Alligator mississippiensis: one gene and its partner. The protein of the gene in region 2 interacts with the protein of the main gene of each other region in a pairwise test. Links are inferred from orthologs where the notes say so. Each region holds a gene or a part of one and is shown on either strand. Other genes may lie near its edges.

What was found. The genes of interacting proteins can lie anywhere in the genome.
Region 1: the proteins of FKBP1B (region 2) and RYR2 interact in binary tests that used the Homo sapiens proteins (3 or more experiments, as listed by UniProt). The link is inferred for Alligator mississippiensis from reciprocal best matches to the Homo sapiens genes FKBP1B and RYR2.

Annotation. Positions count from the first base shown.
Region 1 is NC_081824.1:154,220,317-154,228,372, reverse strand, and holds the start of RYR2 (ryanodine receptor 2), read right to left. Parts: upstream 3,202-8,056; 5' UTR 2,977-3,201; coding exon 2,929-2,976; intron 1-2,928. UniProt on the Homo sapiens protein: Cytosolic calcium-activated calcium channel that mediates the release of Ca(2+) from the sarcoplasmic reticulum into the cytosol and thereby plays a key role in triggering cardiac muscle contraction. Aberrant channel activation can lead to cardiac arrhythmia.
Region 2 is NC_081824.1:15,854,872-15,863,162, reverse strand, and holds the start of FKBP1B (peptidyl-prolyl cis-trans isomerase FKBP1B), read left to right. Parts: upstream 1-5,201; 5' UTR 5,202-5,295; coding exon 5,296-5,332; intron 5,333-8,008; coding exon 8,009-8,056; intron 8,057-8,291. UniProt on the Homo sapiens protein: Has the potential to contribute to the immunosuppressive and toxic effects of FK506 and rapamycin. PPIases accelerate the folding of proteins. It catalyzes the cis-trans isomerization of proline imidic peptide bonds in oligopeptides.

The DNA of each region.
Region 1 (8,056 bases), about 140 Mb from region 2:
ACTGATTTAAGTCCACTGTCAGGTAACAGACATGGTCCACACAAAGGTCTTTCCTATGAGGGGTTTCCCAAGGAAAATAAGACTTTCCATATATCTATTATGGAAAGAATCTGCCTAAAGGATTTTCTGTTCTCCCTCCCTGAAAGCCTGAATTGATTTTGCTGCAGCCAAATGATATGTCCAAGTAAAAGAAAATCATGTCATTCATATAGGAATTATAACCAATTTATAGTTTTGCTTGCAGATGTTTTAATCTGTACACTACATTCTCTTTTCTTTCTTAATATAAAAAATGCACCAAGAAGGTACTTGCATTTGCAGGGAGGAGCTACAAGAGCCTCCTAGTCACTTCCACCCCCATGCCTGCATTTCAGGGGGAAGCCAGTACATGGCATCTGGTGCTTGGCACAAAAATGATCTCTCTTGTATAAGAGTATTTCCAAATGGAATATTCAGCAACGTAATGAGCCTGAATTCTGTCCATACTAAGGTGCAAAATTTATAGGACTCCTGAACATTTCCTTTGGGCTAGCCTAATGGGACAGAAACAGCATTCCAGCCCACATTGCAAGAATACTTGGAAAAAAAAGGCTTGCTGCTTCCAAAGACCTAAAGAAACAAGAAGTTACAGCTACCTCTTCAAAGGTGATTTATCAGAATCAGCTAGTTGCCAAAAGAAACACAAAATCCACAAGAGAAGCAGATTTGCAGGAGGGCTTGCATTCAGCCATCTTGGCCAAAAAAGGCACCAAACAAGCGAGAGAGAGAAAACTAGACACAGCAGGGTGTAGAAAGGCACACACTCTAAAAATAAACTGTATATAAACTGCTTAATAGTTAAATGTAAATAAATATTAAAATTTTAACGTGAAAAATTACTTGCACATAATAAATTCCCATGCTACAATAAATATATCTTTCCAACCCCAGTTGAAAAAACAGCCTTTCCCAGGAGTTTAGTAGAACCTATAGAGAACAGCATGTGCAAAGAATGGCAGTTTAAATGTAGTATTTCTCACAGTTAGCCCCAAATGAACATCATAAAACATTTCCCCCCCCCCCAAGATCATAGATTGGGGTCCTTAAGTGAAAGAATGTTTTATCTACCAAAGCGTTAGAGTATCCCTCTGTCCCTAATGACTAATTGTCTTTAAAAAATGCATACACATCCATTATCAGTTAATAATCAGTTTGCAAACTGAGTATTTTATCAATGCTGCATAAGCAGTTACATGTATAAAAGACCCCGGGGGAGATTAGTCCACAAATTCAAACAATGAACACAAAGGCAAAAACTGCATTCAAAGTTTTATAAAACAAGTGATTTTCCATCTCTCTTCAGTGAAATATTCCCAATTCAGTTAAACTAAAATGTAGAGGGTAGTGGGAAGACGGATGAACTATTAAGGCAAATCACCCCACAAAAACAATTTTAGATGGGAAATTCCAAACTTCACAGGAAACTGGAAATATATCTTAGGCCCTTTATATTTCAAGTCTGAACCCCAACACCAAAAATTTCCCACTGCTCCAGTTTACTACCTTCTTCAAGGTCATTTTTATTATCAGAGAAACATTCTAAGGATTCTTACACAATAATCCAATGCTGAGATTGCCAGACCTCTATTACCAGCCTGACACACATTATCAGAAGTGCTGTTTTACGTAACGTGCTGCTGCTGTCAAGTGCTGGAGTTTAACATTACTCTATATGTGCAGCCTGCTATTAGTATGCACACTGCTTCTGTTTCCCTATTAAGTATTCAGATAACAACATCTCCATGAGCTATGCTTAACATTTAAACCTGCAGTAAGCCTGTAAATACACAAGTCTTCCAAATATTTAGATCAAATTTTAACAGCAGGAAACAACAACCAAACTCACACACATTGTGAAGCCATATCTTCTTTCTGAGAAAGATTTAAGGGGGGGAAGAGGGGAGGTCTTTTTTTTTTTTTTTTTTTTTTTTTTTTAAGATATTTGCTGGTACTACACTATGTGCCACATAACCCTAAGGCAAATAAAAGTTTATAGCTTTGCCATGTTGGAAGAGCAGAGGCAGAATGACCATACGCTCAACATACGCTGCTGTAAATTCAGCTATATTTAAGGAACAGCTTTATTCTTGAAGGTTTCCGGCTGGAAGTAAACAGGGTACATCCAAACCAGCCTCCACAATACTGCAAAAAAAAAAACCCACCCCAATCTGAACATGCACCAGTTACACGGCTTCCTTTTTCCTTTCTTGCTTTGCTACACAAGCAAGCCACGAAACGTTTTGAAAACCAGACTGGACTTGGAAGAAAAAAGAAACGTGGTCTAAGCAGTGTCAGTGTGGATGCATGTCTCGTGGAGACAGATTCCCCCCCACGCTTCAAACTGTGTGGGTCTGTGTGGGGCAACTGGTTAGAGAAAAACTTGCCAGGCTTGGCCATGGGCACAGCACTAGCAAGAGGGGTCAGGAGAGTGGAGAAAAGCAGCACTCAAAAATAAAACTGAACCTGCGGTCCTGATCCAGGCTTACCCGGGTTTTAAAAGCCAAAAGAAGTGTGCGTATGTGTGTGTGCGTGTGTGGGGGGGATATAGGGAGATGGAGGGTGGGGGGATGCCTTGCACCAACCCCTCCCCTGGGAGGACAACACCTGCAGCTGGGGGGGATCGCATGATTGTATGCATCTTTGGCGAGCAGCTGGCAGGGGGAGGCGCGGGGCTGGCTCTGCAGGGCCGGGCGGAGGTGGGTGCCCTGCCCGGGGGCGGCAGGAGCCGGCGCGCACATGGCTCTGCCAGCCCGCCGCATCGCCCCCGGCCCCGGCGGCTCGGGCGTGCAACCCTCGCAGCCTCCACGCCGGGGATGCCCCCCGCCCAGTGCAATGCAGGCTCCCGCCCCCACTGCCATGAGCGCCCCCGGGGTCCCCCGCCGCGCTTACAGTCCGCAGGAACTGGATCTCGTCCTCGCCCTCGCCCCCCTCGGCCATGGCGCCCTCGGCCCCCGGGCGCTGCGGCGGCGGCGGCTGCCTGGGTGCCCCGCGAGACAGGGAGGGGGGTGCAGCCCCGGCCCGGCCGGCTGAGGGCTCCTGCCGCTCTGCAGCAGGTGACGGCTCTGCCCAGCCTCAGCAGTCGCCACCTCCTCCTCCTCCTGCGCGCCAGTGCCTGGAAGAGGCAGGGAGAGGGGGGAAGCGATTAGCTGGGCAGGGAGGAGCTCCTCGGCTCCCCCCCGCTGCAGGTGATCCGCAGCCGGCTGCTCTGCGGCGCAAACCTGCGGGCCGGCGCCCCTTGCCGGCCGCTCGGCGCACAGCCGGCCTCTTGGCTCCGCGCCGGGCGCAGGGGCGGCTGCCCAGCTCCCCCGGGGCCCGCACGAGCCCGGCTCCCTCGGGCTGTCCTGCCTATTCATCCCCAAACCCCGGTTTCCTCGGACTGTCCCGCCTCTTGAGCCCTAACCTGGGCTCTCTCAGAGGTTGTCCTGTAGCTTCGGCCCCACACCCAGGTTCCCTCAGAGGCTGTCACAGCTCCTAAGCCTCAAGTCCAGTTCCCTTAAGTTGTCCCACCTCTTCAGCCCCCGAACCCAGGTTCCCTCAGAGGCTAACATGGCTCTTCAGCCCCAAACCCTGTTCCCTTAGGCTGTCCCACCTCTTGAGCCCCAAGACTGGCTCCCCTCAGAGGCTGGCCTAGCTCTTCAGGCCTTGGCTGTGTAGCACTTGCTTCTAGGAGTGGGATCTAGGCTCCTAAGTCCCCCAGGCACTTTTTTTTTTAACACACCTAGCAGGAGCCGGTGGGGGCAGATGATAGACAGATGGGATGATGTGTGGGTGGCAGGGTGGGGAGCAGGTGGCCACCACAATCCCAGCTGCTCTGCCTGTGCCTTCACCTGCCCGGCTCTGACCTAGGCGAGCTTGCAGGCTGTTGTTAGAGGGTCTTGTTATACTTTAGGCTATGAGCTGCAAAAATGTTGATGGTATTGGTGCTGGCCTGGAGTTTGGAGCAGTCACACCCTTAATCTACAGCGGTGGTTTTTCAACTTCTGGTCCTGGGTGGTCCACAGACTATGTCTAAGAGGTCTGCAAAAGATGACTATGATACCTAATATCCACACTTACAATGCAAAGTGTGGTGAATACCCATACTCACCATGCAAATTGGTTCATACCTCCATTTGAAATATTTTAGGGGTCCTGCTTTATGAACAGGGAAGGTGCGAGAGATCCTGGGATACTGCAGGACTCAACTTGGGCAGCACATCTGTGAGGAGTGGCCACACCTTAATGGAACAGGAGCTGGGTAGTGCAGATTGGAGATTCAGGGGTTTTGTGCTCTGGTTTGGCGTAACTTTGAGCCACATAACGAGTGCTTAAAACCACTTTAAGGTGTTAACATGCAGACAGTCCAGGGGTTAAGAGCTCCAGGAGCAACCAAAATTAGTGTGTAACCCCTTAGTATTTCAGGGGTTTTGTGCCTTGTGGTCCTGCATCAGAGTCTAAAGTAGTGGTTCTGGGCAAGCAATAGCCCCCAGATACAGAATGCAAAGGCCCAGGAGGCTCCTCCCAGCCTCATGCCCCTAAGTAACCCCCCTTTCTGGGTGCTTCTAATTTATTTTTAAACATAATTACAGCATGAATGTGTGCATTTATATTGCACAACCTTCTCTGTTTCGGGTGAACTTTAATCGCCAGAATCAACTGAGGGATGCGGTGAAGTTTGGCTAGTGTAGGAGAAACTGAAGGCAGCATCTGAAGGAGGTTTGGAGACATGAAGGAAACAGAAAGAAAATGGAACTCAAGCTCACTGAAAAGTAGAAGCCTAGAGATGGCTGCAAGCTGACCTGAATAATATACTATTTTATGTAGCGGTGCAGTTGATAATAAAAAATATGTATCAATAAGTTAAGCAATTTAAATATGAAGGAGCATTACTTACTAATAATTTGGTGGGGGGGTGGGAATTAAGACATGAATACAGAGTGGCAATGCCTCCCACTTTTCTTAGCAGAGCTTTTGGTTCCAAAAAAAACTCCTGAGAAAGACCAAACTTCAGATAGATGAGGCACTTACAAAGCTGATTGTTTAAAGTGGCTGTGGAACCTGGCTGTTTAATCATCTTTTTTTCCTTGTTAGCAAACACCTTTGACAATACAATATCAACGTGAATATTTGGGCAAGGGAGGAAGAACAATGTGTGTGAACAGATGATCCAATCAGGAAATGCCAATGGCTTCACTGGGCAGACCATGTGGTTAGGGTGACAGAAGACAGACCAGCTAAATGTATCTTGGAAAGCCATTTCTATCGTGTTTGACCTTGCAGAAAACCAAGGGGAAAATGAAGGGATAACACTGAGCAAAACATCAGACTTTCAATGCTTTACCAGCAATAAAGAAAATATACCTCTGACAGAAGAATGTGGAGGCAAAATGTGAGAAGAGCGAAGGACCTCTGGGGGTTTATAGGGAATGCCATGGAGTTATATGAATGACCTCAACAGTTAACACAGCTTAACTGTTTCTATTCTAACCTCCTGTTTTAAGTAGCAGCTAACTATTCAAAAGATTTTTACCTTTGAGACAGATATTCTTCAGGCTTAATCTCTGACTGAATGATATTTTTAATAAGTATTATAAAAATGGTTTATTTCTTTCACTATCCTCCTACTCTAATGAATAAATTTTCTCAATTGTTATAACAATTGCTTCAAAATATCTAGGTATTGCAATCTGCCATAGGAACAGTCAGTTTTTGGCAGAATTGCCTTTTGACTTTGAGTTTTGAGACATTAGAAAGAAATCCTACTGTATGTATGTGCATTCAACACATATACTTTTTAAATGCATTCTAGGCCAACAGCAGCATTATAGTGAATGAGTAGGGGCCCCCCTCTCATAAATGCACGCATTAATGACTGCACTGAATTCATTAGGACTGTTTGGGGTTGTAAATTTCCTCCCATGTGTAACAGGACTGGGACCTTCCTTAAATCATAGTACATACAGAACATTCCCTTTCACCAAGTTGAGCAGCAAATGAGGCAAGTACCCCACTTCCTGCAACTCTGCTATGGTACTATACCATTTACAAAAAATAGAAGAATAGAAAACCGTTCACAATGTCATCAACAGAATGAAATGTTTTGCATTCTTTTTAACAAACACTATGCCAAAATGAAAATAGTAGCTAACATCAAAGATTTTTTCCAAATAGCTTGTGAAAAGAAAGTGTTTAATTTAACAAAGTGCATTTAGTATATTATCAACAGAAGCATAAAAGAGCCAGAAAACACTAGCTAAGACCAACAACTGGTTTTGTCTTCTCAACATCACCGCATGCAGACCTATAACACAAAACCACACGTCTGTTCACTGATGTACAGAATATGCAGCCACTGTGTCTGAAGTGCACTTCTTTAGGACTGGGGAAAAAAGCAGATATAGCCTAAGCAAGATAACTTGCAAGCTGGATCCAACCCATGGAGACACTCCATTCATCTACTAGCAGGCCAGGAAATGTTGGGGCACAGCCAGCAGAAAGCAGGGCTGTTGCAGAATCTGGGGCCTTGGTCCCTATTGGACATGGGCATCTGCAGCAGTGAGGCAAATGAAGGTTGTGTTGACACAGGGTCATTAGCCCCACAGATACTTGGCCCGTCACCACTGCAACTTATAACGCATCGATTGACACACAGCCACTTGCTTCCATTTCTGGCCTCGCCAAAGCTACCACTTGCCCCACCACCGCTGCCTCTGTTGCCACAGCCACTAGCCCCACCTCTGCTGCCTCCATGACCACTGCTGCCCTGCTGCGGCCACTGACCCCACTGCATCCACTGCTTGTTCTGAAGATCTGGCCTGCAAAGAGCCCTACGGTCCAGATCTGGCCTAAAGCATGGGTGACTGACACCCTTGGCCTAAGGTAAGTATCAGGCAGAACAGTGACTTTTGTTTAATCCCATTTCATTATGTAAATAAAAATGGCCGCATAAAAAAGGAAGGGGGTAGTAAACCTTTGAAGGAAAGAGAAGTTGTGAAAGATGAGGTGGTGTAGTCCTACACTTCTTTGATTCCTCAGCATGCTTGGCACAGCACCAATACCAATAAGACTTATTGCATCTGAGCTCTCCGCTTCCCCCTATCTGCACCCCCACTCCTTTTTCAAAATACTAGATTAACTACTGGCTTCAGATCAAGTAGAGTTGAAAGAGAATATTTTGTGTCCAAGACCTTTTCTAACATCTCTCCCAACTGTGCAGTCAATCCAATAAAAGTTGTTGCCAAACAGATCTTGTTTCTCACATACTTTCTGGAGTATCATCACTACAGCAGCACTACAACATTATTACAGTACACTTTTGGGCAACACTAAAGTCTCCTGAAGAATGGAGTCTCTCATCATCACCAGCCTCCAAAAACCGAATTACTATGATGAAATATGATAGTGGCAATACCAGAAGTATAGAGGGTGGATGAACATCATGGCTATGTCTCCACAAGCAATTGTTGCAGGGAATAAAGCACTGGCACAAATTCATGCTGCTGCTTTTTCCCTTGGTGCATGCCCCTGCATGTAGGGTTAGCTTGGGGAAAAGTGCTCCAGGTGAGGTAGGGACAGCCCCAGAAGGCTTACCTGGGGTCCTGGAGGCCTCCTACACCTCCAGTGGTGGCAATCCAGTCACATGGAGCCTGGCCAGCAGCCAGAGTGTAACTCTGACCAACCAGGCTCCTGTTTCAGGGGGTGCATGCTGCTGCCACATGTGCCATCCCACTTTTTTTTCTGCACACTTTTTTTTGACATTAGGATTTCCCCATATCTAAAGTCAGCTCTGCACTACAAATATGAAGTCCGGAGAACCAAATCACATGCACAGGGTACATTTTGCTGTGCCTCAAAAGCCTTTGATGTGCCACAAATGTACAAGCACGCTCGTGTGGACATGGCCATTGTGTGCGGGAGGAAAAGAAGAAGAGAAGGCAACAAGGATGTAGGAGGAGTCAAGGGTGATCAGGGATACAGGAAAAAGAAAGAATTTTAGTTGGAGGAGCCAAATAAATAGCTTGTGTTGTCAACCTGAGGT
Region 2 (8,291 bases):
TATTAATGTGCCACAATAATATGGCCTTCAATAATATTGAAGGGGTCTTCAAGAGGAGGTTAGATAGGCATCTAGCTGGGGTCATCTAGACCCAGCACTCTTTCCTGCCTATGCAGGGGGTCGGACTCGATGATCTATTGAGGTCCCTTCCGACCCTAACATCTATGAATAAACTCCAGAGCATATTGTGCCAAAATTTATTGCACCCGGGCACCATATTTACACATGCACCCAAGACCACAGCATGTTGAGCTGGGTCAGAGCAGCCCTGGCTGGCAGGGATCCTGGGGGGTCTGCATGCCAGCCTGAAGCTGCTCTCACCCAGCTCACCATGCTGCAGAGGGGCTGGCTGGAGCACGAGGGTGCTTCAGCAGGGCATTGGCTGGCAGACAGCCCCTGCACTGAAACAGTCTTATAACGCAGCTAGCTGGGTCAGTGTCTACACATGCATTGCTGTGCATGAAAACACTCCACAGCAGGATAATACTTGTATTTACAAGTCCTAACTTTCTGCAGAGTTTATTAGTTTCCTGTGGCCTACTAGTGCCACACATGTAGATGCTGAGATGTTTAATGTGGAGCTAATTAGGCAACTCTGCAGTTTACCTTGTGTAGACATGCCCCTAGAGGAGAAGGAGAAAGGTCTTCCAACTTTTTTTGCTGAATAGCTTAGTAATTAGGGCATCACACAAACATAGCTATGACATATCTTACATACAATTGATTCCAATAGGAGTAAAATAATACTACAGTAATTTGCTATACTAACGCACTGCATAGTTTGGATTCAGGGCTATTTACAATATAATGCAAACTGACAACAGTTGCACAGATCAGCCATCAATGAATAGAGCTGTGGCAGGGCACCTTTGGTGCCTGCCACTTTAAGGGGCTTGAGCAGGCTATAGAGCAGCCAGCAGGTGCAGTTAGGCCCAATTGGGTGGTCATCTGACTGCAAGAGGGTCCTCAGATTGGAGAAGGGCCAGGCAGCCCCAGTATAAGCCCAGGCCGTAGGAGCAGAGCTGGTAATGACATCTAGGGAGCCAGAAGAGCAACATCATCCACCCTGCAGCTCCCAGAACACCTGAAGGTCAGGGTAGGAACTATGGGGAGGAAGGAGGTTCCTGGTCCTGGGCAGTGACCTGAAACTGCACCCTGCTGGGGTTGGATGGTGTGGTGGGGCTGCCTGTGGTGGGGCACTTCCCAGGAAATGCCACACCTGTGCCTCCCCAGTGAAAGGCAAGGATGGGGTGTCAAAAAGCCTCAGCCCCTGCTGTCTTGTGGGTATCCTGTGGAGGGGAAAGGCTAGGGGAGCATACCCCGACAGAAGAGCATAGGACCCAGGTCTACTGAGTGGGGTCTGAGGCAGGGTCCAGGCCCATAGAGTGGGACCTGTGACAGGGCCAAGGTCTATCTAGCAGGATCTGAGGCCCATGGGGTATAAGGCCCAGCAGCCCAGTGAGGGGCAGAGTAGTGGCCCTGGTGAGGGGTAGAGTAATGGACAAGAGAGATGCTAGAGGCTGAGTTTGGCCCAGTGTGGGGCAGAAAGCCAGAGGCCACATAGAGTAGGGTCTGTGGGTGCCTGAAGGACTGTGCATAGGCTGGCCAGAGTAGTGGCAGCTGGAGCCATGTAGAGTAGGGTCTGTGGGGGGCTGAAGGACTGCATGTAGGACAGCTGGAGTAGAGGCCCTAGTGAGGGGTATGTGGCCAAGGACGTCTGAAGACATCTGAAGCAAAGTTTGGGCCAGAGTCCAAGTGTGGCCCAGCAATGGGGCCGGGGGAGTTGGAAGTGATTTGTGGATGTGATCTGCAAGGCATATGACATGGTGCAAGGGAAGGTTTGGAGCTGTGTATTTTGCCCTTGGCATCAGGGCAACCAAATGTGCAGCCTCCTGCTTATAAACACCTATTTTTGGAAACATCAAAGGTGTGGCAGGCAAGACAGGGTAAACTGCCTTAGACAGGTGGGTGGGCCAACAATTGGACCGGCCTCGAGATGGCCTCATCACAAGACCAAACACAGAAGTAAAATATCAGACCTACAATTTTGAAGTAAATGGGAACAAAATCCAGTTAAAATATCTTACAGTTAAAATTCAAATGTCATTGGTATACTCACCGGCCAGGAAACACAGATTGATCAGTTAAATGATCCCCTCAGAGCCAATGGAAATGGTGAGATTCATGTACAAAATCACTTAAGGGAATATAGTGTTTCTGATCTACAGAGGTACCTGAAGTATGTACATATCTGTCACGGTGTTTACAACTTTTAATTCAACATGATAGGGGGAAAACGCCTACTAAAAACAGATTTTTTTTCTCTGTGAACTACCACGCTTGAAATATATATTAGTGCCTGTTTCAGACCATACAAACAAAAAAGTACATGAAAATCGGCTGAGGTGTGGAAATTTCTTTCAGTGAAATACTGGATGTACTGTCAAGATGCTCCAGAAGGCTAGATTTTGTTTTATAAATCTAAAAGAGATGCACATTTAGTTCTAATGACAGCAGGACTGAAGAAACAACATTTTTTTCATTATTTTTGCCTAGTTTGCTGATTTTTTTTATACAGAATAAATAATATAGCAAATTAACACACATGCCAATAAAATTATATGTGTTTTTGCTTTGATCTTAAACTGAATAATATGGCCCTAGGCCCCTAGCAGATTAAAGCTTCTAGTTTCTTCTTACCTGGATAAAAACATGTCTTTTGTTGCATATGGTGAAGCACCAGGCCATCTGCCCCTACGTCCCCCTTTCAAAATCCTAGATTTGCCAAAGAATACTCTGCCTTATGTGTGCATGCTTGGCATGGCCACCCCAGTGACTGTCCCTTTCAATTTGACTCTCCCCTTCCAATCAGCAATGGAAATGGCTAATAACTGAGGGCAGTGGGCAGTGGGGGCCCAGGGGAGATCACCATCAAGAAGCAGTGCGGGAGCACAAGGCAGAGGCAGATCCAGGGGGGGCAGTGGTACAGTTGTACCCCCCTTTGATTTCTGCTCCACCCAAAGTTTAAAACCAACTGTCTGGCAGCATGAGCAGCATTTCTATTCAGGCAGCAGCAAAGGAGTCCCTTGACTTCACAGCTCATTGCAGTCTACCTGATCCCTTCTAAACTCTTTGTTCCATGGGTGTTATGGAGCCTCTCTTTTTTAATGGTCTTGACCTTTCTAGGATCAAACCAGCCTTTGTTCTGCCATTCTGCTGTCTGGGCTCCTGGTGGCACAGCTCCTATCCCACAGCTCAGCCAGCTGTTCCTAACTCATTTCATAGATTCATAGACATTAGGGCTGGAAGGGACCTCAGAAGATCATCGAGTCCAGCCCACTCCCCCAGGGGCAGGAAGTCAGCTGGGGTCATAGGATCCCAGCAAGATAAACATCTAAATGTCTCTTGAAGGTGTTCAAGGTAGGCACTTAACCACCTCCGGCAGCAGTCTATTCCAAACCTTGGGGGCTCAGACAGTAAAGAAGTTCTTCCTTATGTCCAGCCTGAAACGGTCATTGAGGAGTTTATGACTGTTCAAACTTGTCATCCCTTGGAGCACTCTGGTGAACAGATGTTCCCTCAGATCCTGGTGAGTACCCCTGATAAACTTACAGGTGGCCACCAGATCACCCCTGAGCCTGTGCTTTTCCAGGGTGAAGAGTCCCATGGCTCTCGGCCTCATATCATAAGGTCTGTTTTCCTGGTCTTTGATCATGCGTGTGGCTCTCCCCTGCGCTCTCTCAAGCTTCTCCACATCCTTTTTGAATTGTGGAGCCCAAAACTGGATGAAGAACTCCAGCTGCAGCCTCACCAAGACTGAGTACAATGGGAGGTTGACATCCTGGGATTTGCTTGAGAAGCATCTATGGATGCAAGCCAGCTTTTTGCTCACTTTACTAGCCACAGCATCACACTGAAGGCTCATATTCATCTTGTGGTCAATCATGACCCCCAAGTCCCTTTTGTCTGTAGTGCTAGCCAGTGTAGCACTGCCGAGCCTATCAGGATGCTGCAGGTGTTTCCTCCCAAGGTGGAGAACCTTACATTTTTCGGTGTTAAACACCATCAGATTCTCATCTGCCCATTTGCTGAGCCTGTCAAGGTCTGCCTGGATCACCCGCCTGTCTTCTGGTGTGGATGCTTTACCCCAGAGTTTGGTGTCATCAGCAAACTTGGCCAGTCTGCTTCTGACACCTATGTCCACATGATTGATGAAGATGTTAAATAGTATAGGTCCTAGGACAGAGCCTTGGGGGGCCCCACTGGTTTCAGTGGAGTTCTGTTTGTTTTCACTTCACTTCAGTCTGGCAGCGAACCATCCTGCCCGAGGCGCCTAGCCCATCATAAAGCTTGTGGCTAAACTGGGCAAAGGCCTGTGCCGTGTTCTAGGGGCTGCTTGAGGCTTTTCAGGCCCCCTGCCTGTCCCTCACACCCACCCTGTACCCCATACACTTGGGGGCTGGGCAGGGTTCAAATCACGCTTTGACTTTTGTGGGGGTCTGCAAAAGATAGGCCTGCACATCATGATGCCCTAATAAAATTGGAGATCCTCCAGGTTATGATTTTCAAATCTTACAAAGGGGCTCTCGTCTCTGATGGGGGGGGGGGGGGCAGAGCTCCCCAGTAATTTGAACTCTGGAGTTGGGACCTGGGGGCAGGGGTTGAGGAGTGAGGGGCCCTGGGTCGGGACTGGCCGTCAGTATTTGCAAATGGGCCCTGGCACAAAAAAAGGTTGAGCGCCCACCACTCCTCTGGGAAGGATGCACCTTGCCCTCTGCGCCCCGCTTTCCCAAAGCCCGGATCAGCCCAGGCTGCGGCTCTGAAAAGCTGCAGTGGGGCTGGTGATCCGAGCTGGCTTAGGGTCGCCACCTCGATTTGAATCTACTCCGGGGGGCTTCTGGAGTGGCAACGTGCCCATGGCACACAGCGCCAACGTGCCTGGTGACCCCCGGGCTGTCCTGGAGGGTCCCCCCTTTCCCACCGCCTGGACCCGGCCGGGCTGCGGCCGCGGGAAGCTGCCGAGGGGCTGCGGGGCGCCGCTCCTGCCCCGGCACCCCGACGCGGGCGCGGGCAGAGGCCGGGGCCGGGGCCGGGGCCGCGGCCGCAGCAGCAGCAGCAGCAGCAGCAGCAGGCGCCCGCCCCCCTGAGCCCGGGACCGCCCCGCGCTGGCGGGGGAGGCACTGGCTGCGGCGGTGACGGCGGCGGGGCCGGGGCTGGCGCTCAGTCGGGGCAGCCGCGCCGGGGACGAGGCGCTCGGGCTCGGGCTCTGCAGCGGCGGCGGCGGCGGCGGTGGCCATGGGCGTGGATGTGGAGACCATCTCCCCGGGAGACGGTACCGTGCAGGGGCAGGGGCAGGGGCAGGGGCAGGACGTGGGATCAGAGGGGCTGCGAGCACTTGGAGCGGGGGGGGGCATCCGCTGGCGAGAGGAGAGCCGCAGCGGTCAGGGGCTGCAGGGGAGCAGGTGGGTGGGCGCATCCCTGGCGTGGCTGTGGCAGGGTCTGTGGGTGCGAGCGGGCGGCTGCCCCTTGCGTGGCCAGAGGGCCGGGCTGTCTAAATGGCATTTGCTGACAGCTGCATAAATCCAAGTGTGGTGAAGTCATGCACGGGGGTAACGAGAGCAAATGCTAGCGCAGCGCGCTTCCCCGCTCAACGTGCGGGAGCCCCCAGGCAGCAGCGAGCGCCGGCTGGCTTCCCAAGCCCATCCTGGTGGAGGCATCCTTGGGGCAGCAGCAGCAAGACAGCTTGTAGGGCACTTGTCTGCTGACACCACTCCTGTTCCCACGTTACACTTTTCCACGTTACAGTTGACTCCTGTGGGGAGAGCGTGGGAATGAACGTGAGACACGATTGCAGTCGTGCAAGTAGCTGTGGTCGAAGCGAGCCTTTCACGTGCAGGCTCCCAGAGTTTCCCAAATGTGTTTCCAAAGTTTTTCATGAGCCGTTGGCTGGGTATGGCAGCAATGTTTGGCGCAGCAGCAGCATTTTGACAGGCCTGACCATTTCTCCCAGGTTTGCAATGGGCAGCTCAAGTTTAGACTGAACGTGAATCTTAGCTTATGAGATCACTTTTTCACAACCAAGTCAGGGCTGCTCTGCTCTGGGCTGGTAGCGTCACCATACTACCTCTGAAGATAAATACCATCGCTAATATACAGCTGTATGAAGGGGCCAGCTTCATCCTTGGATTACCTTTCTTGGCTCGAGCTTTTTTCTACTCTTCATTTTCTTCTTCTGCTGCTTTGTTTAGCTTTGAGGGCCAAATGATGCTCCCATTTGCCCTAAATTTGGGGGATCTCCATACATGGAAGAAGGGCAGCTATTGTAAGTGGTGCTGAGGATAGAATTTAGTCTTGGAATTGTATTATTTACCTGTGCAGTATACAGAGATGTGCTAACTATGGGAGATGCTGTTCAAATTAAGGTTATAAATATCTTTTCTTTGGTTTGTAAATCTTCATCTAAACTGCTTGATTTGAACAGTGTCATCAAACCACAATTAGTATGTACTGTTGCCCCAGATCTATTCGACAGTCATTCTGCTGTAGTCAGTGGTCTTGGCTTCCTTGGGTCTAATTCAGCCCTCATGCAAACTGATACAGGTCCATTGAATTTCTTAGCATAACACCTACTTTTACTAAAGTGGAAATTAGGTCAAAGATGAATGGTGCCATATTCCTTCTCATTTAGTTCTGAATCTAATAGCATATCCTTTGCCTGGGGCCTGTTGTGGGTGGCAGTAGCATTAGCTATGGCTAGCTACCAGCCCCATTGTTCTCGGTGTTATACAAATGTATCATAAGAAGCAGTCGCTGCCATTTTCCAGTCTAAACAGAGTAGGCAGTTTGTAAAAGGTTTGGAAACCTCTTCACTACTGATGGCTATATATTAGGAATCTGTGCTTGACTTGCGTACCGTTTCTGCTGCCCTCCTCCTACTATTTGTTTCTGGTGTACAACTGTCCGTCTCAGATCATACCTGATAATAAAGCATGCTGTGGTAGCACACGAAACTCAGACGGAAGAGACAACAGAAGGCCATCATGGAGGTTGGCGCAGGATCCTGCCTTAATATCCAACTTCTGAAGCTCCTGCTTGGGTTGTTTCTCCACTAGTACATCCCATCCCATATACTGCAGATCAGTTCTGCTGAGCCTGGGTCCTGTGCCTGCCAACTCAGTTCTGCAAATCAGTGGTATCTGTTTTAATCTGCTGCTACTTGGAAGTTTTGGATGTGTCCTGGAAAATTTCCCTGCAGCTTTGTATGCCTGTCCAAGCCTGCTGGCAGAACCTAGGGTAGATGAGTAACTCTCAACAATGGCAAGTGTTTTATTCAAACACTCTCTTATGCCTAGTGTCAGAACAAGGGGCAAAATAACCATTGTTACAGAGGGGCTTTCAAGAGCTCCCTTCAGGATATCAGTGCCTCAAGGTTGCCAATTTAAAAAATGCATTTGTATTGTATGAGAGAGGATTTTTGGGAAGCTTTCCCATTTACTAATTGCATGTGTTCTCATGAAAGTAATGTTAAATATATGGCATTTGAATTATGAATACTAACAGCGAACTTTACCACTATCCCAGAGTTTGATTTTGTTTGTGAATGACAGCAAAATGGCTCAGAGAAATTTAAGAACATGATCTATCCATTATGCTTTTTGAGACTCCCCTTGCAACAGCAGGATATAGTCCATTGATGGGGAACATCTAATGTTACAGTAAGTGTAAAATATGGTATCCTTGTATGAAAGGAAAAGGCAATATTATGAGAAAATATTAGTATTATTCCCAAAACTAAACATGGATCATAACGGGAACTCTCTCTCCTAAGCTATAGTTACCTATCTCCCTTCTGGATATTGGCCGTTTGGATAAAATGTCACTCAGACCTAAACCAGCCCTGGATTTAGTCCCCAGCCTAGCCTCTTCGTCCCATTCATTCTAAAAGCTGATCGTGAGCAGGCATGCTACCAAAGATTTTTTTTTTAATTAGATTTTATGTTTTCAACAGGGAGGACATTTCCAAAGAAGGGTCAGACATGTGTGGTACACTACACAGGTAAGCATGTTCTGTATGTTCTGTCCAAACTGTCTTGCATTTTAGGAGTTACTGGTCATTTCAAATTGGATTTTTTTTTTCTTCCCCTGCCCCTCTTTAGCCCTTTGTTTCATTGTTGATACTTTTCTGATGAATCTTCTGGAGGCGTGGCTCCCTACAAGCAGTTGGAACTACAATACCTATGGGCACTTCCTATTAAGTGTTCTAAATTAAGATTGTACAGCTCACTCTACTA